Linked DNA regions of Sus scrofa. The protein of the gene in region 1 interacts with the protein of each later gene in a pairwise test. Links are inferred from orthologs where the notes say so. Each region holds a gene or a part of one and is shown in the gene's direction. Other genes may lie near its edges. The genes, in order: PSMA1, CCNH, UBXN11, PNMA1, PNMA2, TRIM23 and MKRN3.

Region 1 (3,992 bases):
GAGGGATAATTTTGGTTTTTTTTAGGGCTGCACCTGTGGCATATGGAAGTTCCCAGGCTAGGGGTCCAGCCGGAGCTGCAGCTGCGGGACTATAGCGCAGCTCTCAATAACGCCAAATCCTTAACCCACTGAGAAGGCCAAGGATCTAACCCGCATCCTCACGAGGACAATGTGGATCCTTAACCCCCTGAGCCAGACAGGGAGCTCCAGGAGAGGGCTTAAATATTAAACTTAAATATTAAACAATGGGGGTTTCGGTAAATAAAATATCATATGTTCACAATGCAGAATATCGGGAATCTTGTTTAACCTAGAAAAATTTTAATATAAAAAAGTGTCCAAAATACATGTGACAAGGTTTTTAAAGTGCGATACCAACTTGCTCTAACTTGAACAAATCATTTAAGGGAGCTGAGTCTCTTCATTGACAAAGCTTAGATCCTTAAAGACCCCTTTCAACTCTTACCTGAGTCTAGGTACTCATCCTTTCTTCTTCGTAAAGAAAAGAACTCATCATTGGCAGTCAGTAAATTTTAGGTTGGCAGCTGTTTGTAGAGCTATCCTAAACTATTTTCTCTGAGAATTTACTAAAAGATGTTCGCAAAAAGGAAAATACCTATTTCGGAAGAAGATGTCCCTCAGTTGCCTATTCTTTCAGGCATCGTGCTTGGTTTTGACGGCAAAGACATTAATGCCCTCAAAAAGTTTAAAGTCTGATAATAATGATAGTGATCAGTGACAACAACGCCTGGAAAATAAGGAGTAAGGAAAAGGATTCCAAAGTAGAAAGAAAATCATGTCCAGAAACAAGATACTCCAGGAAGAGTACCGTTGACACGAAGAAATGGACCATTATTTGTGGTCTTTTTTTGCAGTCCTGTTCTTCTCGCTACCCAACACCACAAATCTCTGTGGACGCTGAATGAGAGGCTGAGCAGTACACCAGGAATCTCGGGTGCATCCGGCCGGGCCGGTGAGAAACTGACAGGAATCTACAGCTCACAGGTAACTTCTCTGAGGATCCAAGAAAGGCGACTTGATAGTGGCCACCCAGCGACTATTAGCTCCCGCGGGCGTTCCTGGCCCAAATTTTCCCGCCAATGTGAGTTTCTCAGATTTCCCAGGCCCCGCCCACTCCCGAGCGGGCGGAGAGCTTTGAGGGCGGGGAAGCGCCGGAAGCCTATCGCTATCTCTAGAATAGACTGCTCTACCCTGCGCCGACGCATAGTCCCGCAGACTTCTCTGCAGATCGCCGAGCGGTAGTTTCGGCAGCGCTCCTTGATCTGCAGGTTTACCGGAGGCCGTGACTAGGCTCTCGCCGGAACCATGGTGCGTTGGATTCCGAGCTCAAACAGGGTTGGGGCACAGGCCCGCTGGCTGGGGGTTGGCGAGTGATCTCTCTGTCACTCTTAGAGCGGGCCGGGGCTATGGGACATGGGAACCTCAGCCGATGGGGGGTTCTGGAGTGATTCAGCATCTCTGGCCTGGCCGGCACAGGGGAAGTCGGTAGTCGGTGCGGCCTTTCCCCTGGGTTTGTTTCGCTTTCCATCCGGCCTTGAACAATACCTCCTCGGTCTGCTAGCCGAGTTCGCCCCTCAGTTTCCTTCAGTCGAGTAGATTCCGAGCGGTCCAGAGGGGCCCCTAGTGCTCTGTGTGAGAGAAAGGAAAAATTGGGATTTGACTTTTGGAATCTCCCTGTATAGCCAATAGCAGAGTTGAGAGCTCAATTCTCTTTTAGAGCTCAATCAGAAAAGGCCTTTTTTCAGTCACTTATCCAGTTAAGTATTTTTATGAAAGAGTAAACTGAAGCTGATAGAAGTGATAGAATAAGGGTTACAATATAGGGCTCAGAGCTTCCAGTCCTATGTCTACCATTCCAGCAGTCAGCCTTCTCACCCTAATGATTGGGCTCCCAAGTACTGTGCTGGCAGACTCATTTTAAGCTGTCTTTAAAGCTGTAATGGGTCCGTCTCTGTGGCTATTTGTGTCCACTTCTGACTTTCTGGGGACATTCTTGTGTGTACTCATTCTATAACAATGTTTTAAATGCACTGTTTTAACTACAGTGAAGGTTCAAAGATAAATCAGACACGTCCCTAATCGTAATATAAGGTCGAAAAAAAAGGTGTAGATAAAGGAATGGTAGGAGTATGTGTTGGGATTTGGGGAGGAAAGATGGAGAAGGCTTCAAGAGGTAGACATTTGAGGTATTTAAGGAAAAGGAATGCTTTTTTTTTTTTTTTTTTTTTTTGTCTTTTTGCATTTTCTAGGGCGGAATCCGCGGCATGTGGAGGTTCCCAGGCCAGGGGTCTAATCTAATCGGAGCTGTAGCCCCGGTCTACGCTAGAGCCACAGCAACGCAGGATCCGAGCCTCGTCTGCGACCTACACCACAACTCACAGAGGCGCCAGATCCTTATCCCACTGAGCAAGGCCAGGAATGGAACCCGCAACCTCATGGTTCCTAGTTGGATTCGTTAACAACTGAGCCACGACAGGCACTCCAAGGAAAAGGAATGCTTTTGATCGTATTAGGTCTTGGTATCAGGGAAGAGAATAAGCCAAAGATAGAAAGGAGAGTGGACACATAGGAACTTTAGTAATTGACTGAACTCAAAGGCAGTGCAATGGACAGTGGTAGAATTGGAATTTGGGAAGATAGGTCCCATCTGGCTCTGCTCTCCCCTCCCTCACAAGCTCCTTGTAAATGTAAAATTGGCTTGCAACTAAGTACAGTAGAAATCTTCCAATGAGGTTGCAGTAACAACCTTTCATTAATGTTGGATGGAAATAGACTAGAAAATTATTATTATTATTATTTTCTTTTTTTTTGCTTTTTAGGGCTGCACCCAAGGCATATGGAAGTTCCATAGGGGTCCAGTCAGAGCAGCAGCTGGAATCTGACCTATGCCACAGCTCATGTCAATGCCAGATCCTTAATCCATTGAGCAAGGCCAGGAATCAAACCCTTGTCCTGATGGATACTCGTTGGGTTTGTTACCAATGAGCCACGATGGGAACTCCAGAAAACATTTTTGAGTGATAGAGCTTGTTAAGATTTGGGTTTTGTAATGTTCTTGTATTAACAGATTTTTTTTCATTTACTTTCAGTTTCGCAACCAGTATGACAATGATGTCACTGTTTGGAGCCCTCAGGTAAAATGTTTTATACTGTTTCTACAAAGTTGCTTTTGGTGGCTGCAACTTAAAAATGTTTTGGATAGTATGCTGTGAGAAAATATAATCATTTTAGACATTCCTGTAAGTTTCCTAGTTTTAAAGAACATCGTTTGAGGTTTAGCTATTCTTACCTGAAATTTGGGATCTCTGAGTTAATTTTTTTTCTGCATTTGATCATATGGGGATATTTATGTCATTTTTAAAAAATATAATTGTTTAAAAATATAGTTGTTTTACAACGTTGTACTAATTTCTGCAGTACAGCAAAGTGACCCAATCATCCATATATATATATACACATTCTTTTTCTTGTATTACTTCCATTGTGTTCTGTCCCAAGAGGTTGGATATAGTTTCCTGTGCTATATAGTAGGATGTCATTGCTTATCCATTCTAAATGTAACAGTTTGCATCTACTAACCCCACACTCCCAGTCCATCCTACTCCCTCCCCCGTCCCCTCTAAGTTAATTTTAAATCCATGAAAGGGTCTTGTACAATGACTCTAAGGTGTATTGGGTTTTTTTCCTTTTTAGGGCAGGATTCATCAAATTGAATATGCAATGGAAGCCGTCAAACAAGGTTCAGCAACAGTTGGTCTGAAATCAAAAACCCATGCAGTGCTGGTTGCATTGAAGGTAAGTAAAGCAATAAATATATCTTCCTCTTTTAAAAAAGAGCTACTGGGAGTTCCCATTGTGGCTCAGCGGTAACAAATCCAACTAGTATCTATGAGGATGTGGGTTCGATCCCTAGCCTCACTTAGTGGGTCAAGGATCCGGCATTGCTGTGAGCTGAGGTGTAGGTCACAGAC
Region 2 (4,075 bases), about 50 Mb from region 1:
GGTTATAAACTACAAATGGTGTGAGTTCAAGAAATTCAAATAACTGTAAAAGTCTACCTTCAACTGCACCCACCCAAACAAAACAAAAAAGGGGGGAAAAAAACTCTCTCTTTCATAAGGCTTTAAAAATATTTTCATTGAAAGCAGAGTTAGAGATACCATGAAACCTCTTTTTACCTATAGACCTTTTCAACTTTCTGAATCTCACTATCTTTATGTGCTTTTTTAATGTTTATTTTTAGGAAAACAACTTACAGTAAGTAAATCCATCCTTTCTAACACAATGTATGATGCACAGGAGAAGGTATGCCTAAATGGGACAAATATAAAATCAGTAAAGACTTTTATGTGATCAATGTAAATTCTGTATCTCAAAAACAATTTTGAAAGCATTAGTTTTACATATATATAGATAGATATAAAATCTTAAGTTTAATAACAGCTTGTTGTAAGGCTCCCTTGAGGGCAATAATAAAGATGGGAATCTCAAGAAAACCCTAAAATTACCACTACCATACATTGTGGCCTCAGAGATGGAAATGGGGGAGAGGATTGGCTAGTCATCAACAGAAGCAGAAGAAAAAAGGCACAGAAAATAATAGAAAGGGACACATACGTGTCACAACAGTGAAGGACAATACTCCTGCACTGCTTCTAGTTTTCCAATTAGCGCCCCAGACGTTCTTCCTTAAAACGGAAGGAAGGAATGCTTCTGCCCTAGGACCTTGACTGTTCCATCTGTTCCAATATCACCCGCTACATGATTGGTACTTCCGCGACTCTTTCAAGTCCTTGCTCAAATGTCACCTCAGTGAGACCTCCTCTGAACATTCTATTTAAAAGGTGACACCCTCTCACGTCCTTTCCACACTTCACTTATCCCACGTGAATTGCTTATGTTAGCTTCAACATAGCCACAAATTATTCCCTTTTGGACACCCTGCCTGTCGCTTCTCCTTTAAATCTTGTGGGGAAGGGCGGAGCTAGGACCGAGGCTAAAAGCGAGGAGGAGCCTTCTACAGGCTACGCCTACTTGCGTCGTGGGCAGCGGGCCAGCGATCCCGCGCGGAGACATTCTTCTCCTCTTCCGCTCCGGAAGCGCGACTGCGGAGGGGATTACCACGTGACCTTGACGTCAACGCGCCCGCGCCAGGCGGACCTGATTCCCTCGGCTTCCCAGGGGTCTTGGTTTGTGGCTTATCTGCTTTCCACTCTGGTGCGGCGCAGTTCGCGGTCCTCGCTCAAGGCCCTCTGGGCCTGGCCTCCAACTTAAGTATGTACCACAATAGTAGCCAGAAGCGGCACTGGACTTTCGCCAGTGAGGAGCAGCTAGCCCGGTTGCGGGCCGACGCCAACCGCAAATTCAGATGCAAAGCAGTGGCGAATGGGAAGGTAAGAGCTCCCGCTGCCGGCCCCTTACCTAGGTCTCTACGAGCTCTAGCCCGTCCCCCTCCGCCAGGACTCCCTGCACACCTTCTTCCTACCTGCCCCTGCCTTCTCAGTGCAGAGTGCGTTTATTTAGTAAACGACGAGCACTCTGCCGGATGCTCTGGGTTAGGGACAGACGAAACTATCCATCTTACAGTCAAGTGAAGGAAAGATAAAAAAGCAGTAACGGCAAAGAATACACTTTGTAGGATGCTAATATAATGAGGGGAGGGACTTTTCTCATCAGCTGTTGTGGAGAAGATGGGGGAAGGACCTTCCAGGTGGACAGAGCCACAAGTGCAAAGTAGAAGGTCAGTAATTGCAGGGCTGGTCCGTGGAACGCTCATGGTTCTGTGTGGCGGAAGCTGAGTACCTGTGCATGAAAGGCTGGAGAAGGTAGACAGGGGACTCGTAAATGGAAGTAAAGAGTTTAAAGTTTGTGAAATTTTATATTGGAAATTAACCCTGTTAGATTCTGTTGTAGAACGAGCTTTCTGGGAAAGAATGGATTGATTGGATGGGGCATGGTGGAGGCAGGGGGACAAGAGACCGTTAGCATGAACCAGTTGACCAGACAGAGATGGTTTGGACTGTGGCCTGCCAGCCACGTCCTTCCTGTTCTCCTTCCTCTTCGGTTTAATCTTTGCTCACAAGCTCCAAAAAAACACCACCATCCATTCTAGCTTCTGTGTCAGACCTGTTTTGATTCTGAGTACTGAGGTACCTTTACCTATAATTCACAACTTACTTCATATCACTTTGTGCTGCACAAAGTAATACATATTGTGCAAAATTCAAGTATTTAGTATGTGTGAGCTCATACAGCCCTCACAACTACTCCATGAGGTAGATACTGTTGTTTTCCTTGCTTTACATCTGAGGAAACTGAGGTACAGAGAGGTTGAATAACTTCTCAGGCTATATGCTAATAAGTGACAGAGCCAGGATTTGAACCCCTGGAATCTCGTTCCAGCATTCCTTCAGTAAACCACAAGGCTGTGCTGTCTTTAAAGTTAGAACCTGTGTTAGTTGCTTAGGACTGCTCTTAAAAAATTTACCACAAACTGGGTGCATTAAAACAGAAATTCATTGTCTAAAACAATGGAGGATAGAAGTCTGAGGTTCTGGAGGCTAGAAATCTGAGGTCAAGGTGTTAGCCAAGTGGTAATCTCTGTGGCTTCTAGGAAGGATCCTTCCTTTCCTCTTCCAGCTTCTGATAACCCGGGTGTACCTTTGCTTGCAGCAGCTAACTCCAATCTTTACATCCATCTTTACAAAATGTTCTCCATGTGTCTCTGTGCCCTCACATATTCTACTTATAAAGATACCAATCATACTGGATTAGGAGCCCATTCTACTTCAGTGTGACGTCATCTTAACTAATTAAATCTGCAGAGATCTTATTTCCTCACCTTCTGAGGTACTGGGGGCTAGAAATCAACACTTTTTTTGGCAGTCCTAATTAAACTCTTAATAGCATTAAATGAATATTTGTTGTAAATGTGTAGTGTTTATTAACTATCAAGTATAGTCTGTAGAGATTTTACAAAGGTAGGAAAGAGATAAAGTGTTAAGGATCAGAATTATCCTTGTGACACTTGTTGATTTTTACTCAAACCCGTGTGATTTAATAACTGACTGAGGGATATTGAAAGTTTTCCAGCCATTGACAGTATATCTTTATTGATTTATAAATAATGACATCAAACCTATGAACATATACACATGCTCCTCATGATTGCTTGTACCTTAGTGAGGCAGATATTCAGCTGACATACTGAGAAAATATGCAGTTATGGTGTAGTTTATTAAATATTTTCTTAAAAGCTATTTTGTGTAATATTAGCAATTTTCTGATAAAGGAAAAATATGGTATATTTCCTTTTGGTTGGATCTCTAAACTAAATTTAATCTGGACAAAGAAAAATATTTTAAGATTAAAAAATTTTTTAAGATTATCTAATTCATTACATTTTTATTCTAATTTTTGATTCAAAGGTTCTTCCAAATGACCCAATCTTTCTTGAGCCTCATGAAGAAATGATACTCTGCAAATACTATGAGAAAAGATTATTGGAATTCTGTTCAGTGTTTAAGCCAGCAATGCCAAGGTCTGTTGTGGTAAGTTATTGTAGTGGTGAAGTATAATGTCATTTAGCTAATTTCTGAAATCTGATCAATTATATTTAATTCTTATCTACTTTCCTCCAAAATATACTTTTGTTATATAAATATATAATTTATGTATTTAAGTTTTTGTCACATACATTTTTCATAAATGCCTTAAATTATGAACTCCTATGTTGTATCTCTCAGAAGTGTTTCAAGAATCATTTCATATCAAAAGAATTTTAAGGCCTGATACATAGATCATGATATCCTCATTTTATAGAAAAAGAAAAAATCAAATTACTTTCCCTCCAGATTCTCAATTAGTGAGCATTATAACTCCTACCTTATGGTCCCATGGACTAGTGCTTTTTAAACTCTTCACACACATGTGAAATAATGCATTTATTCATCATCTGTAATCCTATGCCCCAGCCAAAAGTCATGCTGTAATTTTTTAAACCTTGAGTAGTAGAAACTGGAGGTTTACTTTTGGGTGAAACTTGTCTTGTGGCTGTTTCACATGTATGGTTCTGAG
Region 3 (4,029 bases), on another chromosome or scaffold:
TTCAGTCACACCTTCCACTTGAACTGTTCCCCTGGCCATGGACCTGAACCACCTGTACCCTGGCTTATTTTTGCTTGCATGTTTTACTTAAGTGGGAGCTTCTAGAAAGAGCACAGATTCTGGAGGCAGAGAGTCTAGATTAGCATCGACTTTTGCTGCTTTCTACCTGTATGGTCTTGAACAAGTCACTTCACTTCTCTGAGCTTCAGTCTTCTCTGCTGTAAAGTTCATAATGCTGACAGTGGGCACTTGAAAGACACTCATTAATTGGTAGTTCCCCTCCTTCTCCAATTGGTGTGTAAAGAATGCCTCAAGGAGCCTGCTCTCTCCTAAATGCAGTAGATTAGAGTCAAATGGAAAATACTACGTGTGGTTGAGACATGCAGAAAAAGGGCTTTGGTAGCTGAGCCAAGGCATAGACTCTCAGAGTATCACAGGTGGAAGGTTGTGAGATAACGGTAGTTAAAAGCAGGAAATGTTTTGAAAGCTTACTCTGTATAGCTATTGTGACAGGCACTCTGCATACATTATTTCATTTAATTCTCACACAACCCTATAGGGGTGGGTATTCTCCCCATTTTACAGAAGAAATTAAGGTGAATAACTTGCCCCAGGACGCACAAGTCAGGGGCCTGGACTCCAAAGGCCAAAGTCCATGCTCTTAACTAAATCACCTTTTGTTGCTCTAATCCAATACCTTATTTTTTTCATGTGAGGCTCAGGAGGGGAAATGTCTCACCCAAAGTCACAAAAAGAAAAAAGTGTTTTATCCGAAGGCAGGGGGAATCTTACCTGAATTTTTACACAAAGGAAATAGAATCTGAGCGCCCCTTTAGGGCACCATTTGGTCAAGAAGTTAACAGAGGTTTTCAGATTTAAGAAACATTTATTAACTACTTGCATCATGTCAATTCATACTCCAAAGAACTCCCCCTTAGCACTGTACTGATCAGACGAGAAAACAGAGAAACGTAATTTCTCCCCAAATCAATTTAGCAAAACAACATTGTCGGGATTACAGCTATGGATCCAGCGACTTCTAATGGCTTCGTGAATCCAACCCCAGGCCCTCCACTTTCAGTGCCTTGGGGTGGTAACAAATAGACCCTCCGTTCCCCCAAACCCAGAGTCCGCGCAGAGCGGTGGATTCTGGGATTTGCATGTATCCCGCGAGGAGTTTAGACTCTGTGGGCCAATAGAATTCGAGTACAGAAGGCTGTACCCTCCTCCGCTGCCTGCTGGTTGCTCAGGACCCCACGTATTAGCCAATGAGAAGTGCACTGGTCCTGGTTGCCTGGGAAACCGCGTGACAACAAGATGGCGGCGCCGCGGGGGGCTCGGCCGACCTGCGTGGTGAGTTCCAGCCCCGGACCTTTCTGCCCGCAGAGCCCCCAACGCAGGCTGGGGCCCTAGCACAGAGAGCCTCGAGGACAAGCGAGCCCGGCGGATCAGCGGGCCCTCAGCGTTCTGGGAGCAGATTAGGCCCCCGCCTACTTTGGCAGCGCGTGGAGGGGGGAGGTGGCGACGCGGCTCCCTGGGCGGAGCTGGTGGTAGAAGTTGCTAGGTGAGCGCTTCCAGCTGGAGATTTGGGGAATGAAGGCGTGCAGCTGGCTGGTCTGTGTTGGCGCTGTAGAGCACAGAGGCCCGTGGAGGGACAAATTTGGGTCCCCAAAATAAAGAGGCGTAATACAAAGCCCAAATTTTAGCCGCCCCAAAGTGAAGGCAATAGTGGTGGCTCTGTCCTCAGGGTCCCCAGTCTGAGGGAAAAGACACAGCCCTGCGCTCAGGAGCCCCCAGGCTGATGGGAGGATACAGTTGTCATCCGTAGGGGTCCTCTATAATCCATGGGGAAATCGATCCGGAGTCAGTGTGTTGGGCTAGAGTGAGACTGGAAACTGGGAAGTCAGTTTGGGGCCATTGTGACAGTCCCAGAGAAGGGCAGTGAGAGCCCCACTCTAGGATGGCCAACAGTGGCCATGGAAAAAAAAGGAGCTATGTATGAGAGAAATGCAGAGTTTACCCTGCAGGGGTAGGATAGAATTAAGAGGGAAAAGAGTCAAATTTTTGCCTCTCATTAAGAAGGAGAACGTGGTGGAGTTCCTGTCGTGGCACAGCAGAAACGAACCCGACTAGGAACCATGAGGTTGTGGGTTCGATCCCTGGCTTCGCTCAGTGGGTTAAGGATCTGGCATTGCTATGAGCTGTGGTGTAGATTGCAGACGCGGCTGGGATCTGGCGTTGCTGTGGCCCTGGGGTAGGCCGGCAGCAACAGCTCGGGTTAGACCCCTACCTGCGAATCTCCATATGCCCCAGAGTGTGGCCCTAAAAGGACAAAAGCCAAAAAAAAAAAAAAAAAAAAAAGCAGGAGGAAGTGGGAGGAATTTATGTTGAGGGAAGATATGGGTTTGGCTTGGAGGCCAGGTCCCTTTTTTTTCCTGTGATAGCTTTATTGAGATATGTCACATACTATATACTTCACCCTTTTAAAATGTAAATTTCAGTTGTTTTTAGTATATTCATAGAATTGTGCAGCCATCACCACAGTCAATTTTAGAACATTTTCATCAGGAGTTCCCGTCGTGGCGCAGTGGTTAACGAATCCGACTAGGAACCATGAGGTTGCGGGTTCGGTCCCTGCCCTTGCTCAGTGGGTTAAGGATCGGCGTTGCCGTGAGCTGTGGTGTAGGTTGCAGATGCGGCTCGGATCCCACGTTGCTGTGGCTCTGGCGTAGGCCAGTGGCTACAGCTCCGATTCGACCCCTAGCCTGGGAACCTCCATATGCCGCAGGAGCGGCCCAAGAAATAGCAAAAAGACAAAAAAAAAAAAGAACATTTTCATCAGTTCCAAAGGAAACCCTATACTCTTCAGCAGTCCACACACACACATGCACACCCCACCTCTCCTTAGCACTTCCAACCCTAGGCAACCTCTAATCTATTTTGTGTCTATAGGTTTGTTCACTCTGGATCTTTAATATAAATGGAATCGTAACAATTAGTGGTCTTTTGTGATGGACTTCTTTCCCTTAGCATATGTTTTCAAGGTCCATTCATACTGTAGCATAGATTTCATCCCTTTTTCTTTTTTTCTTTTTTTTTTCTTTCCTTTTTCTAAAAGGGCCGCTCCCACGGCATATGGAGGTTTCCAGGCTAGGGGTCTAATCTGAGCTGTAGCCGTGCTGGCCTACGCCAGAGCCACAGCAACTCGGGATCCAAGCTGCGTCTGCAACCTATACCACAGCTCACAGCAACGCCGGATCCTTAACCCACTGAGTGAGGCCAGGGATCGAACCCGAAACCTCATGGTTCCTAGTCGAATTCGTTAACCACTGAGCCACGACGGGAACTCCTCATCCCTTTTTCATTGCCAGATAGTATTCCATTGCAAGGATATATCACATTTGTTCATTCATTGGTTGATGAACACTTGGGGTTGTTTCCAGCATTATGAATAATGCTACTTATTGAACTGATATACAAATTTTTGTGTGGATGTACGTTTTTATTTCTCTTGGGTATATACCTGGGGTGTGGAATTGCTGAGCCACAAGATAACTGTGTTTAACCTTTAGAGGAACTGCCAAACAGCAGCCGTGCCATTTTATATTCAAACAAAGTTTCCAGTTTCCCTGCTCATCCTTGCCAGTGTTGGTTAATATCTGTTTTTTTGACTAGTTTCTTTTGAGGGGTCATTATGGTGACTAGAATTTAGAGAAGAGAAAGATAATCAGGTCTGGTGAAAGTTCATGCAGGGCAGTCTCAGCCACTAAAGGCCCAGTGCCTGAGACTTGAGTGTGGTGATTGTGATGGGGGTTTCATGACTCGGAATACACTAAGGACCAGTGAATTATATACTTTAAAAGAGTTGGAATCCCTGCTGTGGTACAGTGGGTTAAGAATCCAACCATAGTGGCTCAGGATGTGGCCATTAAAAAAAAAAAAAGAGTTAAGTATGTGAATTATACTTCAATAAAGTTGGGGGTTTCTTGCATTTTTTATTTTTATTTTTTACCTTAAAGTATAGTTGAT
Region 4 (4,269 bases), on another chromosome or scaffold:
CGCAGCCTCCAGCTACACTCAGCTAAGGGCATGAGATTAACCTAGTGCCTGTGTTCTAGACCATTTCTGAGGTCTCTTAGCCACCCAAGGAGACAGGGCTTCGACACTGTCCTCCATGCCTTCAGCAACCCCTGTCACAGCTAAGGTACACACCTATCCCTTTGGCTACTCCACTTCCACCCCTGGCACAGAGGTCGTGTGCTGCTTATGTCTAAAGGGATCCCCTATATTTAACTGCCTCAATGACCTAACCTCTTTCTTCTCATGTGCCAGATGTTAAGATGAAGGAGGAATACAACACATACACAAGCCTCAGCTGTTTAAATATGTTTTTACCGGGGCTCAGTTTTCTCAGATGGTATTTATTACCAGTGGCAAGCCTAACTCCTTAGGTTTACAGGAAGTATGCATATTTTTATAAAACAATTGTATGTCCTCCCCATATTTTGCTGTATTAATATTTGCCTCTAACTAACAATTTGCAGCTGTTTCACCTTTTCCTCATTTGTCTCTTAGTCAAAGGCCTTGTTGGAGGGGACAGAGCACAGGAACAGCCTTGATAGTCTGTAATTATTGTACAAATATTTTAATAGCATATAAATAAGTATATTCCTTTTATTTTGAAAAAATCAGACACTGCCTTTTGTGTGTTTGCTGCCTGTGGCACCCTTTTTTAAAAGACTGTTACATATTAAAATAGTGTACATATATATAAATATTACCTCTTTTGCTGTACAGTTGTGATAGACCAGACGGAAGATTTTATTTTTTGTGTGCTTTTTATAAAAAAAAAAATTAACACACTAAAGAAAATCTTGCTGATGTGATTGTAATGTACCTATGTAACTTATTTACTTTTGAATGTTCTTCTGTATCTTTAAACCTTTTATTAAATAAGGTTTTAAAAATTCAGAGTTGATTTCTGTGTCCTTTGGGGGAAAGATTTATTATCTCACCATCTGGGATTGTAAGTGTGCCTTGGTTTGCTTCCAAAGGATACTTGACATTTTTGAACCATAAGGCCTGTTTTATCCATGATGCCAGGGCAGGGGAAATAACACATTAGTGTTTGCCGGGTTACTATTCATAGAGATCTAGATCTTTTTACAACATTTTAGACAAGAAGAAGTCTCAACTCACTGGGATAAAATTTAGAGGGTGCAGAGTGCAGTCAGGTGGTACAGGGTATTATACAGCATTGCCTCTGAACGAGCGACGCGAGTAGACAAGTCTTTCTTGACGGCCGGATATCATCTTAAATCCACTCCAGAATTATATTATCTTTTAAACACAGTGCTTTGTTAAGAAAAAAAAAAATCTGGAAAATGCGAAAAAGGAAATGCGCGGTAAAGGAAATTAACGCCCGCGGCCCCGAGCTGCCACCATGGCAACCATTCGCCCCTGCAGGCCGCTAGAGCTCCGGCGTCTCGCGTCGGTGGTTGCCGTGGCTACGGTCGCGCGGGCAGGGCCGCGGGGGGCGGGGCGAGGCGGGTCGAAGGCCGGCCCCGCCCTCCACTGCGGCAGTAAAGGCTAGGCTGGCTGCGGGTGGGACCGAGGTACAACTGTGCAGCTCCAGCCCACCTCGGCCCGCGGTCGCCTGCGTGCGGGGCTGCCGCGGCCTGCCTGCGACTGCGCCTGCGCCTCCTCTAGCCTGGCTTCCGCGTCTTTCCTGCGCCTCTGCTGCCTGTGTTCTTGGTCCTTGGCGTCCTCGCCGCCCAGAGGGATACGTTTGCCCACGAAGAAGCTCTCTCGGGTTGGCCTCGCTGCCGCCGCTGTCTTTCCCTTAGGACAGTCTTTCCCTCCGGGGGCGGTACTAGTTCTTGTCTGCGGAGAAGCGGCTCCTAGCTCGTCTGAGGCGTGCTCCGCTCTGGCAACGAAAGCTTGCACCCTCTGGGAGCAGCAGCGAGTGCCTGGCGCCCAGGCTGCGAAGAGGCGGCCACGTCCCGCGATCAAGCCCTGCGGCTCCTGCTTTCGCCGCCCGCCTTTTTTCCTCGCCTCTGCGCTCCGACGCGACACCTTCCTGTAAGTGGAGGACCCGGCCTGCGGATCCCGACCGGAGACACAAGATGGCGATGGCCATGTGACTGAGCATCCCCGAGGCTTCGTTCCGAGAACGCGGAGGCCTGGCTTTGAGGGGCAGCGAAAAGAGGAGAGCAGGACACTGGTGTCGTTTGTTAAACGTGATTGACTCCCTCGGGCATATGGGGGGAGGTGGCGGTGGGAGCGTCTGCTATTGTCTTCAGTTTTAGAGCACAGGGAGCCACAGTCTAATTGTATTTGTAGAATTGGGGCCCTTGATAGTTGGGAAAATGGCGATGACACTGCTGGAAGATTGGTGTAGGGGGATGGATGTGAACTCCCAGAGAGCCCTTCTGGTCTGGGGGATCCCTGTGAACTGTGATGAGACCGAAATCGAAGAGACCTTTCAAGCTGCGATGCCCCAGGTGCCCTATCGAGTGCTTGGGAGAATGTTCTGGAGGGAAGAGAATGCCAAAGCAGCCTTGTTAGAGCTCACTGGTGCTGTCGATTATGCTGCGATCCCCAGGGAGATGCCAGGTAAAGGAGGGGTCTGGAAAGTAGTCTTTAAGCCCCCCACTTCCGATGCTGAATTTTTAGAAAGGTTGCACCTCTTCCTAGCAAGAGAGGGGTGGACCGTGCAAGATGTTGCCCGTGTCCTTGGGTTTCAGAACCCCACTCCGGCCCCAGGCCCCGAAATGCCGGCAGAGATGCTAAACTATATTTTGGATAATGTTATTCAGCCTCTGGTTGAGTCCATATGGTACAAGAAGCTGACGTTGTTCTCGGGAAGGGACATTCCGGGGCCAGGGGAGGAGGCATTTGATCCCTGGCTGGAGCACACTAATGAGGTCATAGAGGAGTGGCAGGTGCCTGATGTAGAAAAGAGGCGGCGGTTGATGGAGAGCCTTAGAGGCCCTGCCGCTGATGTCATCCGCATCCTCAAGACCAACAACCCTGCGATTACCACCGCTGAATGCCTGAAGGCGCTGGAGCAGGTGTTTGGGAGCGTCGAGAGCTCTAGGGATGCGCAGGTGAGATTTCTGAACACATACCAGAACCCGGGAGAAAAATTATCTGCTTATGTGATTCGTCTGGAGCCTCTGCTGCAGAAGGTGGTTGAGAAGGGGGCCATAGATAAAGATAACGTGAACCAGGCCCGCCTGGAGCAGGTCATTGCCGGGGCCAATCACAGCGGAGCCATCCGAAGGCAGTTGTGGCTGACCGGGGCTGCTGAAGGGCCGGCCCCCAACCTCTTCCAGTTGCTGGTGCAGATCCGCGAGGAGGAGGCCAAGGAAGAGGAGGAGGAGGCTGAGGCCGCCCTCCTGCAGTTAGGCCTGGAGGGGCACTTCTGAGTCCCAGGAAAGGGGGCGTTAGTTCAGACCTAGATCACGGCTGCTTTCATTGTCTCTGTGATGTCTTACAGGTGTGTCTCCTGCTAGTAAAGACTAAGCGGTGTTTTTTGTTTTTGGGCGGGAGTCCGGCCTGGGTATTCATGTGTCATTAGCACAATCGTGCAGGGGAGCACCAGATCTGCTGCAGCGCTCGTGGGTCATGCTAGCTACAATGCCAGGGAAAGGCTTGGACGTGAGTCCTCATTGCAAGCTATCATCATGGCACCATCATCGGTTGTGAAAAATGTGGTCTCGTGACTCTTCCCATCAAGGTAATTAAATATGAAATTGCATGTTCAGATGTATAATGAGTGCAGGGCCTGGATACCAAAAGAACTGTTCAGTAAAAAATGTCAACTGTTTACTCTTAACTGTGGTGAATAGTTTTTGTGTCTACCGTAAATTGTTCCTGGTTTATATTAATGGAAAGAAATGTGAATAAGGTATTATTCAGCTTTACAGTGCAGATTTCTTACTGTACATCTTTAAAGATCTAGATCAGTTTAATTGAAAAGTGTTCTGAGACTACAAAATGGGGTGTTAGAACGATACTGCGCTTACAGGGCTGTGTAAATCAAGTTTTCACTGTGTAAGATGCAGATATAAAATGCATGGGGAGGTTAATAGGAACCAGTTACAGCATCTATTCCCCCATTTCAAATCTTTGTCATTGAAGAGTAGTTTACCATGTTCATGCTGATTCTAAATGTTTTAAATTCGAAGTTATCAAATACATGTATATTAATAAAAATATTTTTTAAATTCTCTTATTTTTCTGCAACATATAAAAATTTTCAGTGTAATTAAGCTCTGTATCTTCATTTTTTCAGGAAGATTTCCCCCATCACTAAAAAAATCC
Region 5 (4,130 bases), on another chromosome or scaffold:
AGATTCTCGCTTGCAGTCCGAGGAGGCGCTGACCATGGTCCTGGCCTCCGAGCTCGGGATGCGAGAGCGGAGGACGACAGAGGGGATGCGCTGGAAGTGTACGCAGGGCGCGGCGGGGAGCTGTCGTCTAGGCCCCCGCCCCTCCCGACCCCCGGGGAACCCGCCGGCCTTCACGCGAACCCTCCACTGCACGCTCTGAGCTGCATCAAAAAAGGGTGGGGCAGCCAGACACAGCTGCAATCGGAAGCTGCCCGGGAGGATTTAAGAAGAATGGAACCTCGGCCCATCCCCTCCCCCTCCAACCAAGAGACCCCCCAGCCGGGGATAGGCCCATCCTTTACCCCTACCCCCACCACCCAGGCCCAGGGAAGCGCGGGGAGCCTTTGTGGGCGCACAGCCGCCCACCGCCCAGCCCGAGCTTCTCCGAACCCTGCACGGAGAAGGGGCGGGTAGGGTGGGGTGCTTGTGCACATGCAGGGAAGCGATATTCGAGGTGGGGCAGGACGGTGGGCACGCTGGGATCCTCGGCTTTTCACCGAGCTGGAAGGGGCGCGAGGGAGGGGCGAGCCCCACGCTCCGTCCTGTCTCGAACACCTCCGCCCCTCCTCCATACCAACCTGGTCGTTGATGTTCTGCAGGGCTTCCTTACCGGAGGCCCGCCGGATCTCCACCTTCCGGCCCGATTCAACAGATGGCTCCCCGCCGGCGCGCCGACCCTGCCGGGAGTACGGCGGCTGCGGGTCCGGGCCCAAGTGGGCGACGTCCCGCTGCTGAGCCACCACCTGCCCCGAGCCCCGGCCCACCGACAGCGAGTCGAAGTCGATGGTCTTGTTCTCCGAGGACCCTTCCACCGGGCAGAACATGCCACAGAATTTCTGTCGAGGCTTGGGGCTACCGGAGCCCAGGTTTTTAAAAAAGGCAGGGACCTCTTCGTCCTCTGCCGCCTTCCCGGATTGCTTCCTCTCTGCCATGGCTTGGGGGCTTGGGGAGTGTCCTCTCTGTCCGTTCTTTCCTCAGCGGGTCCCTAAGTCTGCCTGTCTCTGTGCAAAAATCCCCCCCGGCTGCTGCCTCGGCTGCTGCTCTCTGCCTACCGCAAGGTGTACAGAAAGGAACGAGGGCTGGCGAGCGAGCGACCCACCCCTCCCGGTCCCTCCCCCTGACCCCGCTTTCTCCCCTCCCTGCCCACGCCCCCCGCAGCCTCGCGAGCTCCCGCGAGCGGCAAAGTTGGGGTTGGGAGGGTGGCCGCTGCGGCAGCAAGAACCGAGAGGCTGCCAGTTACCAGCAGCGGCGGGAGGTGGGGGGAGGCGCGGGCGGGGCGGGGGCGGGGCGCGGCGCTGGGGAGGGGAGCTCAGCGCTGGGGAAGCTGGGGAGGGCCGCGCCGCCCAGACCCCACGCTCCGGAAGTGAAGCGGCCAGACCCCCGGCTAATGGATGCGGAGCAGAAAGCCCGCTGACCGCTCTCGGCCCCAGGGTAAGTATGGGGCAGGGCACGCTGGGGCGAAGATCCGAGGGCGCCATCCCAGGCCCCCGCTCCCCTCTCCCCGAACTGCCCGGCCCAGGCACCTCTCTCCCACCGCAATGCAGAGCTGGCCCAGGGGCGAGGGCCCACTGTGTGGAGGGTTCCCTCCCCCTTACCCGAGTGCGAGCTAATGGATAGGAAAAGGGGCAGAAACTGGTAGACTCAGGACACTCAGCGGGAAGGTAAGGGGCGGCACTCAGGACGGAGAAAGGATGGCGCAGGCTGCGCAGAGTGGTGGGGGCCATATAGGGCGCGGTCTATCCATTGGCCTTGGTGGGCTACTGGGAGCAGAGATTGAAACAAGTTCCTCATTTACTATACCCACTGTGGTGGGGGGCGCGCAGCGTGGCGGAGAGAAATGCAGAGAGGCATAGCAAATGCGGAGGAAGTCGGTATATATAGAGAGAGACATAGGTCCACGGTCTGTGGGAGTGTAGCAAAGAGTGTAGTCTGCAAATTCCAGCCCAGCGCGGCAACTTGGATGTATAGTGAGAGAGGGAGCAGACCGCTACACTGGCGCGCCGTATACCGTAATTGCGCCACAGCGCCAAGAAAAGCCCAGCAGAATGCATCTTCCCCCGCCCCCAACCCGGCAAAGAAGGGAGAAAGACATTCTTTGAAGCCCACTCCCCAAATCTCCAGCCCTACCCAGCGCCCAGGGCGCCCCGCCTCATTTCCCCGCCCTGCTGCGCACTGCGCCAGAACCACGGGGTTTCCTAGGTTGCCAGAAGCCTCGTGCCTGAGGCCTTCTTGCGCGCGCGGCCAGTGCAGGGTAAGGAGATGGGGTGCCAGCTGTGATGAGTGAAGAACTGTGTGAAATCCAGCAGGAGAATGAGGTATGGGGACATGGTGTGCATGCGCCAGTAGACTAGCCACAGCCACCACCGGTTTAGTGGGCATCCAGAGGGCATTTTAATGTATGCCAGTAACACAGTCTCTGAGGGCTCTTTATTACTTACACCTATCCCTCTGTCCTTTCCACGTCTCAGTCCCTGCCCATGATTGATTACAGCCCTGCCTTTCTCTCTTCAGTGGCAAAATCCTGCAGAAATGATGCCCATCCTTTGGCTGCTGGAGAAGGAGCTCTGGGCATGCTCACTAAGCTGGGTGGGTTGGACTGGAAAACACTCTACCATAGGAGTGTCGTTGCTGGGCAGAGTAACCAAAGATCCGATCCCATTGTCATCCCTCACCCCTGGAAGGGTTAAATGTGGATACCCTGCCTCTCCCAATTGTGATGGATAGTTTGGTAAATGGAGTTAAATTCTGAGGACAACCAGTCCCAGTTTGAAGATAAGCCCACCATGATAGGTGGGAAGGCATCTGGGGATGAGAAGGAGAGGAGGAGGGAGGAGAGAGGAATTTACATGTGCAGGGGATGAGAGAACCAGAGGCAGGCATTTGGACTGAGCACCAGATGTGCTTCACATTTGAATAAAATGCTTCCACACGAATCACGCCATTTCCTACTGCCAGCAGCCCCCTGAGATGAGTGTTTCATTGTCACCACTTCCCAGGATTCCAGGGTAGAAAACAGATGTAGAGGCTTTGCCCAAGGTAACTGTCTAGTTAAATGATCCAGCAATTCCAGTGAGGTCTTCCACCTGGAAGTCTGGTTCCTTTTTGACCTTATCCTGTCTTTATAGGAGAAAGGACAAGATTTTCACATTTTCCCCTATATTCAAATATTTCCATCTGTGGCTTTATTGTGTGTCAGGAATGTTTCACTCGCCTTTTATTTTTATTTTTTATTTTTTTTAACTTGAAGGTAGGTTGCATTGCAGGTAGAGACTGGTTTTGGAAGAAGAAGACACCCAAAGATAGCCTAACTTCAGCATGACCATTATTATGTAGACCTTAGAGCTGTTTCTTCCTGGGTACCCAGTGTCTTTTTCCACCTTATGTTTCCTCTATTGCAACAGGGAGGAAGGTCACTCCCACGTCTTAGAAGAGGAACAGGAGGCATGATGAAGTCCCTGGGTTCAGATCCCTGGGGCTGCAGGGCAAGGACGTGATCCAGCATTTTGCCCTTCTGACCCTCTGGCACATGCCCCACTTTCAGCACCTTCCAGAAGGACTCAGGAAATGTGCCTGCAGCAAGAACAGCTGCCACTGTAGCTGCAGGTTGGCATCTGTGGCATATGGACCCCATTTGGAGTGATGGAGATTTTTAGGGAAAAAATAGTTGTGGCACCTTAACACACACTCCACGATGCATGACAGCAACGGGATGATAGACAGTCTTCCCTTTTTACATTATTCAGTCTCCACCGGCTCACCACAGATGTGCCTCCTCGATTTTTCTTTGTCCTCAAATCACCCATTCAAGTTCAGATGCTATGAAGAAAGCATCATGTTACTAATGAAACATTTATAGCAAGAAAGGCCCCTACTTGTGCATTTTCAAAACCTGACCAGGCATAACCATAGGGAATTCATAATTCCAAGTTTAACTTATTTGGTTCTACAAGTTTTTTCTAATTGTTAAACCTATATTAAATTTTACCTATAATGTTATATTAAAGTGTATTATATGTTATATTTTATACCTGTGTTCAGTTGGTTTTAAATGTTTGAGTGATTTCTGATTGGATTTTTTAATCAAAGAAATG
Region 6 (3,500 bases), on another chromosome or scaffold:
ATCACAAAAGCCAAAAAGAGTGCACAAATGAGGAAGTAAAATAATTGTTGACATTTATATAGCATTTATGGGCTACGTGTTTTAAGGATTTTTACATGTCTTTTTAAAAATTAATATATGCAATAATCCTATATAAGTCTGGTGCTATTTTCATTCCCCATTTTACAGATGGGAGAAGTGAGGCAGAGAGGTCATGCAGCAATATATACAAGTATGTTCATTGCAGCATTATTTATAATATCAAAAAATCAGAGATGACCTAGTATCTTTCAGTTGAGATTAGTTAAATTGTGGTTTATGGAATATAATGAAGCAATTGAAAGGAAAAGTATGTCTGTATGTTTTGAAATGAAAGATTTCCATAATGTTAATTGTGAAAAGTTAGTTGAAATATGTTTTTTTTTTAAAGTATATTTGTTTTATGTATGTCAACCAATGTGTGCACAGAAAGGTGTCTGGAAGGACATACATGAAATTGTTAACAGTGGATATTTATGGGAAATGAGCATCACTTTTCATTTTTAATTAATATATTTAACTCAGCATAAAAATTTTATTTAAAGAAGATTCAGTTGAGCTAGAAAATCTGGGATAAAGAAGTGGATGTGTATATTTTTTTAACTTGTATTAAAACAAAGTATGTAGTAAGTTTTACTAAGCCAAGATTTAGCAAAGCAATGAGGAGTGATTCCTCTGAGAATATCAGAATCAGGGTATTTTAAACTGATTTTAATGGATTGAGGAATGAGTAGGAGACAAATAATTAACAGAAGTTTTTTGTAAATAAAAGTGTTAAGTGCTAATACTTTTAACTCCATAACAAAATAAAAAGATTAAATTTTTTAAAAATTATAGGACAATAGAGTTCACATTGGACCAAAAATGGAAATTCGAGTTGTCACATTAGGATTAGATGGTGCTGGAAAAACTACTATTTTGTTTAAATTAAAACAGGATGAGTTTATGCAGCCTATTCCAACAATTGGTAAGTATGAGTATTGCTTTATCTTTAATGGACACTTTACATACAAACTCTAGCTTATAGCTGAGTTCTTAGGACCTTATTTTATGCCTGTCTGCTGTGGAGAATGGCTCTGCCATGGAGAAAAAAATGGAATATTCAGTGGCTGTTTAACTGAAATGTGGATAGAGGGATAGTAAGAAGGAACAGAATATTGGTGGTACAGTTGCAAGGAATAAAGGATTGATGACTGGCTAAGGATTTGGGGTGAGGAGGTGGTAGTGGTGCAGAGCTGGCACTTCAGTGTCAAGGTCCTAAGAGCTCTGGTTAAAGGTATTAATTTCCTCATGTATGCTTATTAGGAGTGGAGTTAGTTGGGCAGCAGTAGATATTGTTGTATGAAGATAATTTGTAAGTTACAGTTGTAAATGGTGTTGCCTGTGTTTGTTGTGTCATTCATTGTAAATATAAGTTTAGTATTAAAGAAACTTTTTTTAAAAACAGGTTTTAATGTGGAAACTGTAGAATATAAAAATCTAAAGTTCACCATTTGGGATGTAGGTGGAAAACACAAATTAAGACCATTGTGGAAACATTATTACCTCAATACCCAAGGTAAGAGTATAAGAGTTACATTATAATTTTTCAAATTTTTAGGATGCCAGTTTTCAATGCATTGATTAGGTAATAAAACTGATGCTTTAGCATTGATTAAATATGTAACTATACCTTTATATATTTGTAGCAGACACCGCATTATTAAGAAAATTAGTAACATTATTAAGAAAATTAGAAAAACTGGGATATGTACTCTGGGTTATTTCATGAAAAGCATAATTATAGCATAACAACCATATTTATGTTATATATGTAGACAGTTAAGCATACTTACCTCTTGCTGCTTTTAACAAAGATTAGTATTAATGTTCATATGAGCATGATCACTGGCAATATTGTCGTATAGAGTAGAATTTGTGGGGTATAGTTCTGTTACTCTATTCAGTTCAATTCCATTATATTCTCTCAATAGCTTCCACTCCTTCATTTCCATTCACAATTAGTTGTTATCTGCAGAAGAACCTGAAGTGGTTTGCTTTTGACCAAATTGTGTTATATCACATATATTCCACTTAGCATTTGGGCCTCATTTTATGCTTTACCTCCTGAAACTTATGTTCATATATCATCCTATTTTCCACCTAGAAGAAAGACTAGATAATTTTTACTTTGGGATTTTTGATATTAAGTTTAGTATGAGCAAGTGACTAAGGGGGAAAAAAGGGAATTTTGAGTATGAAGAATGGTTGAAAGTCTGGGATGTTTAGCTACAGGAGGAAGCTGGAAATATTTTAAAGAGAATTAATTCAGTATCTATTTATGAAGCTTCATCTGTGTATTTTCAGTCTAATCTATGGAACATGCCATTACAGGCACCTACAGAGAATACTTTGGGGAGATAAAGATGGTGATTTATTTATTTTTAAAAAACTGTCTTGGAGTTCCCATTGTGGCTCAGCAGGTTAAGGACCTGCTATTTTCTCTGTGTGGATGCGGGTTCAAACCCTGGCCTTGCTTAGTGGGTTAAGGATCCAGTGTTGCTGCAAGCTGCAGTGTAGGTTACAGATGTGGCTTGGATCCTGTGTTGCTGTGTCTGTGATGTAGGCTGCAGCTGCAGCTCCAATTCAACCCCTGGCCTGGGAACTTTCATATGCTGCAGGTGCAGTCTTAAAAAGAAAAAAAAAAGCAAAGACTTTTTGTAAATGAAGTAATAATCGAAGAAGTAGCACCAGCAAGTAGATCAGGAGAGCTGCATTTTCATTCATTAAGAAAAAAATTTTAAATGGTATGAACAGCAGTTTCTATTTGGTAGTGCAAGTGTTGTAAATCCTGTTATAGGTTGGGAAACAACAATTGAAAAGTTATGTTCACTACTTGAGATCATATCATTAATTATTGCTAGGTGCTCCTATAATTGGCAGCCTTTCTGTGAAAATGATCATAGATTATCATAATGAGAACATTAAAATATTTGGTCCATTTGCTGAAACTTAACAAGTGACTAATTGAACATTTTTACGTTCTTTTGGTAGCTGTTGTATTTGTTGTTGATAGCAGTCACAGAGACAGAGTTAGTGAAGCACACAGTGAACTTGCAAAGTTGTTGACGGAAAAGGAACTCCGAGATGCTTTGCTCCTGATTTTTGCTAACAAACAGGTGACACATTTGTATTTCAGAATACTTATTTTAGTATTCCATATTATAGGTAGCTGTTACTATTTCAAGAGAAATCATTTAGATATTTACAAAGTTTCTGTTCTATATTTTGAGTACAATCTTTATGGAAAGTGCTGTACTTGGTACCTTGGAGTATACCAAAAGAAATAAAGTAGTTGATGCTCACCAGAAACTCCTATGTAGGAGTTCCCTTTGTGGCTCAATGGAAAAGAACCTGACTAGTATCGATGAGAACATGGGTTCCATCCTTTGCCTCGCCCAGTGGGTTAGGATCTGGCATTGCTGTGAGCTATGGTGTAGGTC
Region 7 (3,949 bases), on another chromosome or scaffold:
AATCCAATAATATATAAAATTATAATAAATCATACCACAAAAAGGTTTTTCTTGGAATAAAAAATGGTAAGTTAAACAGTTAAAACCTAGCAGTGCAAATAATCACAACAACAAGACAGGGAGAAAATAATATGATAACCTCTCAAAAAAATGCAGAATACTACATGATAAAATTCAGTAGCCATCCATAAATATGCTTTATATTTGAGAATTTACTTTTTTAACCAATATAATAAAATGCACTTGCAAAATTAAGAGGTACCGCTTACAGGGCATAGAATATGCTATGAAAGGCTGGTCTAACACAATACCACACAAAAAAGGATGAAAGAAGGGGAAACAAAGAGCCACTGTGAGTCAAATTAGCAAGAGAAAATAAAGGCTAGGGTCACAAAGGGCACAGGGGCTAATTAAGCCAGCATCAAGCCCACTGAAGTCTGCTGCTTCTGCACAGAGGGAGGGAAGCATTAGAAATCACAATAACCTAAGACAGCTGACAGGCACTAAAGCAGTCACAGATCACAAACGCTCCCTGCTAATGTCTCACAGGGGAAAAAACGTTTCCAACAAAAGCCGGTAAGAATTTCCAGAAAACAAAGAGCAGTCTCAAGTCTTTTCAACACAACTAAAGGGATTAAAGCTGCTAGCAGGGAAAGTCAGGAAACCCATAAATAAACATGACAAAAAATACGACCCACACAGACATAAAATGGAGTGAACAAACAAAGCATTTATAAAATTTATGCACGAGATGTTTCAGAAACAAGACACCCTTTTAAACATACGGGGCTTTAAAACAAACGAGGATTAGACGCTTTAAAGAGAGATGTATGAAAAAGCATTCAAATCACAGTGTCGGAAGGAACAATGGAAGCGATTGAATTAAAACCTCAAAAGGCTGGGATTCCTTTCCCCAGGAGAGACGCGGGGGAGCAGGGGCTGCGTGCAGAGAAGCGGAGACGCTGCTTGAGCCGAAAGCGGGCAGCGCTGCTGGCTGCGAACAAAGAAGGAAGCCGGTCAGCATTCCTGACGGACCGATCGGACCGATCGTGCAGAAGTGATGTAGGACCGATGTTGCCTCCACAGGAAGTGTCCGGCGCTGCCAGAGAAGGAAGTAGGAACACAATTACAGGAAGTAGGGACCGGGGGAAGCAGAAAATAGATGCACACTTCCTAAAAATCAGCCCCGAGCTAGCGCCCGGCCTCCGGGCCTCAAGGCTGACACAAGGAGACACCGGGGTAGTTCCGGTACCATTTCTGGGGAGCAGAAGCTGCCATGGAAGAGCCTGCAGCTCCCACAGAACCCTACGAGGCAGCTGGGACATTTGGGGACATCGAGGCAGCCGGGGAGATCAAGCCTTGGCCCACCCTTCCGGTGCCTCCCACCTCCCGGTGGTCTCCGGCTCCAGGCCCAGCCCCCTTCCGTCCGTCACGTGTGAGGCCCGCCCAGGAGTCAGGGGGAGGGGCTGGGCCCAGATGGCTGCCGGGCCGGAGCAGTGGCAGCTGGACAAAGGAAGTGGTCTGCAGGTATTATCTGCATGCTCAGTGCAAGGAGGGGGAGAACTGTCGATACTCCCATGACCTCTCAGGGCGGCAGGTGGCCAGGGAGGGCCCCGGTTCACCACCCCCAGCCTCCACAGACAGTGGCCCCAGCGCGGCTGCGCACGCCGAGGCCCTGCCTCAGGAAGTGGCGGAAGCCCCCCCGGCTGTGTCCTCACGCTCTTTTCCTCTGATTGGCTCTGCTGAGAGGGTTTTCTTTGAAGCCGAGACTGAATATGCAGGCCTTGAAGCTGCGGGAGGAGCAGGTGCGGAAGGCTGGGAGCATGCCATTGAGTTTGTTCCCGGGCAACCGTACCAAGGCCGCATGGCCCCTCCTATCTACGTGGCTCCTCCACAGGGCTTGCTGACTGTGAGGGAGCAGTTTGCCTTGGGCCAGAGGCAGCAGCTTTGCCGCGATGCTATCATGGGGCAATGCTTTCGTGGGCCAAGCTGTATGTATCTTCATGGAGATATGTGCGATTTGTGTGGGCTGAAGGTCTTGCACCCCTTTGATGGTGCTCAGAGGGCAGACCATAGAAGGGCCTGCATGGAAGCACATGAGCAGAATATGGAGCTCTCGTTTGCCGTGCAGCGCAGTGCGGACAAAGTGTGTGGCATCTGCATGGAGGTGGTCTATGAGAAAGCCAACCGGAATGATTGCCGCTTTGGCATCCTCTCCAGCTGCAACCACACCTACTGCCTTAAGTGTATCCGCAGGTGGAGGAGTGCCAGACAGTTTGGGACCTGGGTCGTCAAGTCCTGCCCCCAGTGCAGAGTCATCTCCACCTTTGTCATTCCCAGTGAATTCTGGGTGGAGGAGGAGGAAGAGAAGCAGAGACTTATTCAGCAGTACCTGGAGGCAATGAGCCACAAGCCCTGCAGGTATTTTGTAAGAGGCAGGTTCTGCCCATTTGAAGAGAACTGTTTTTACAAACATGCCTTCCCTGAGGGCCAGGGAGAGGAGCCCCAGAGGCAGGGTGCTGGGGCACCCGGTCCTTGGCGTGGTCAACTTTTGGAGCCTCCGCAGGTGGGAGAGGGCGACATGCCCTTTAAAAGCTGTAAAAAAGAGCTTGTCATGCTTTGGCTGGCCAATCTGTTGTGTCAGTGTTTTCTTTCATGGGGAGCTAATGAGCTCCCCTGCTCAGAGACCCAGTGGGACTTGCTTCATTGTGAGCTGGAAGAATATTTCAATTTGAATCTGTGGCATTCTGTGGCATGTTGTATGGTGTGCTGAGGCTCTGTCATCTGCTCTTGCCTGTGTTGTGTTTATAGACACATCTGTCACTTACAGAAGCTGCTGAAACCATTTGTTTAGAGCATCCATCTCTGTTTTCTTGCCCATTCCCATTTCTTTGCCCCTAGGGTTATGGTGTTTCACTGTGCTAAAAAGTCACAAAACATCCTTAAAGTTATTGTTTGGTGAAATTAATATGACTGTCAGTTTATGGTTTATTTTGTCATCTCTGTTTTCAACAGGATTGACTCAGTTCTAGTCTAGTGTTTACAGAATGTCCACACTCATTTTGAAGCCCCTCAAGAATAAATGTGACAGGGTGAAGGGAGAAGTCTTAACTGAACAAGGAGCTTTTTGCTACTTCAGCCTTAAGAAATCGACCCTGGAGGGGCCTTGTGGTGCAACTGCTTATCTCTGTTGTTTACACATTTGTTGCTTCTCATCCCTTTCAAGTGCACTCTTTAACTTGTGGTTACCTTGTGGTTTTGTGTTTTACTTGACCAGAACCAAGTGCATATGTTTACATGTTTTTATCCTGTTTAGCTTGATGTGAAATTATTTATATTTGGAAGTAATATTTAAGAATTATATATATGCATATTAATGTGTGTGAAAGCGATATATTTGAGGATAAATATAAAAGATATACACCATTTTATTATGTTTATGTAGTACATACAGAGCTAGAAGCTGAAAGTTAAAGGCTGATAAGATTTGATGTTGGGTGAATGTGAGGTGTGTGAATAATTCTGTCCTTTTCACAGGCTTCTGTGATTAGCATCTAATGAAAGCAGCTATTTCAGTGTCTCTAGCCAATTGTGATCATAAAGAATTTACAAAATACCAACATTGGTAATTCCTGTGATGGAATTAATAGCTTACCCTGCTGTTACCAATATAGAAATGTGAGTTCCTGTGCAGTTTAGACACCATCTCATTATTCTTTATAACAGCACAATCCTGGACTCAGATACACATTCTTTGTATTCAGTATTTTGTGTGATCTCTAGATATTCCAAAGAAGGGGCTTGTGACAAAAGTTTGCAACATAAAAGCGACAAGATTGTAAAAGATAAAGTAGACTAATAAGCATATTGAAATCAGTCAGAATGCAAGCATGGAAAGATAAAAAAATACAGAAAAGTAACAAAAGCTAAGTATGATAGTAATTTGGAA

What was found.
Region 2: the proteins of PSMA1 (region 1) and CCNH interact in binary tests that used the Homo sapiens proteins (3 or more experiments, as listed by UniProt). The two-hybrid records come from large-scale screens. The link is inferred for Sus scrofa from reciprocal best matches to the Homo sapiens genes PSMA1 and CCNH.
Region 3: the proteins of PSMA1 (region 1) and UBXN11 interact in binary tests that used the Homo sapiens proteins (3 or more experiments, as listed by UniProt). The two-hybrid records come from large-scale screens. The link is inferred for Sus scrofa from reciprocal best matches to the Homo sapiens genes PSMA1 and UBXN11.
Region 4: the proteins of PSMA1 (region 1) and PNMA1 interact in binary tests that used the Homo sapiens proteins (3 or more experiments, as listed by UniProt). The two-hybrid records come from large-scale screens. The link is inferred for Sus scrofa from reciprocal best matches to the Homo sapiens genes PSMA1 and PNMA1.
Region 5: the proteins of PSMA1 (region 1) and PNMA2 interact in binary tests that used the Homo sapiens proteins (3 or more experiments, as listed by UniProt). The two-hybrid records come from large-scale screens. The link is inferred for Sus scrofa from reciprocal best matches to the Homo sapiens genes PSMA1 and PNMA2.
Region 6: the proteins of PSMA1 (region 1) and TRIM23 interact in binary tests that used the Homo sapiens proteins (3 or more experiments, as listed by UniProt). The link is inferred for Sus scrofa from reciprocal best matches to the Homo sapiens genes PSMA1 and TRIM23.
Region 7: the proteins of PSMA1 (region 1) and MKRN3 interact in binary tests that used the Homo sapiens proteins (3 or more experiments, as listed by UniProt). The two-hybrid records come from large-scale screens. The link is inferred for Sus scrofa from reciprocal best matches to the Homo sapiens genes PSMA1 and MKRN3.

What each region holds. Positions count from the first base shown.
Region 1 is NC_010444.4:44,738,910-44,742,901, forward strand, and holds the start of PSMA1 (proteasome subunit alpha type-1), read left to right. Parts: upstream 1-1,192; 5' UTR 1,193-1,326; coding exon 1,327-1,329; intron 1,330-3,110; coding exon 3,111-3,155; intron 3,156-3,714; coding exon 3,715-3,816; intron 3,817-3,992. UniProt on the Homo sapiens protein: Component of the 20S core proteasome complex involved in the proteolytic degradation of most intracellular proteins. This complex plays numerous essential roles within the cell by associating with different regulatory particles.
Region 2 is NC_010444.4:95,015,692-95,019,766, reverse strand, and holds the start of CCNH (cyclin-H), read left to right. Parts: upstream 1-1,275; coding exon 1,276-1,392; intron 1,393-3,426; coding exon 3,427-3,549; intron 3,550-4,075. UniProt on the Homo sapiens protein: Regulates CDK7, the catalytic subunit of the CDK-activating kinase (CAK) enzymatic complex. CAK activates the cyclin-associated kinases CDK1, CDK2, CDK4 and CDK6 by threonine phosphorylation.
Region 3 is NC_010448.4:83,711,716-83,715,744, reverse strand, and holds the start of UBXN11 (UBX domain-containing protein 11), read left to right. Parts: upstream 1-1,229; 5' UTR 1,230-1,353; intron 1,354-1,362; exon of another isoform or gene 1,363-1,564; intron 1,565-4,029. UniProt on the Homo sapiens protein: May be involved in the reorganization of actin cytoskeleton mediated by RND1, RND2 and RND3. Promotes RHOA activation mediated by GNA12 and GNA13.
Region 4 is NC_010449.5:97,049,058-97,053,326, reverse strand, and holds PNMA1 (paraneoplastic antigen Ma1), read left to right. Parts: upstream 1-1,469; 5' UTR 1,470-2,309; coding exon 2,310-3,371; 3' UTR 3,372-4,177; downstream 4,178-4,269.
Region 5 is NC_010456.5:10,425,590-10,429,719, reverse strand, and holds the start of PNMA2 (paraneoplastic antigen Ma2), read left to right. Parts: upstream 1-1,330; 5' UTR 1,331-1,470; intron 1,471-2,205; exon of another isoform or gene 2,206-2,354; intron 2,355-3,440; exon of another isoform or gene 3,441-3,642; intron 3,643-4,130. Other genes in the region: DPYSL2 (dihydropyrimidinase-related protein 2), read right to left, coding at 618-971.
Region 6 is NC_010458.4:44,108,292-44,111,791, reverse strand, and holds part of TRIM23 (E3 ubiquitin-protein ligase TRIM23), read left to right. Parts: exon of another isoform or gene 1-855; coding exon 856-985; exon of another isoform or gene 986-1,465; coding exon 1,466-1,576; exon of another isoform or gene 1,577-2,002; coding exon of another isoform or gene 2,003-2,041; intron 2,042-3,051; coding exon 3,052-3,176; intron 3,177-3,500.
Region 7 is NC_010443.5:142,498,169-142,502,117, reverse strand, and holds the start of MKRN3 (probable E3 ubiquitin-protein ligase makorin-3), read left to right. Parts: upstream 1-1,149; 5' UTR 1,150-1,276; coding exon 1,277-2,773; 3' UTR 2,774-3,949. UniProt on the Homo sapiens protein: E3 ubiquitin ligase catalyzing the covalent attachment of ubiquitin moieties onto substrate proteins.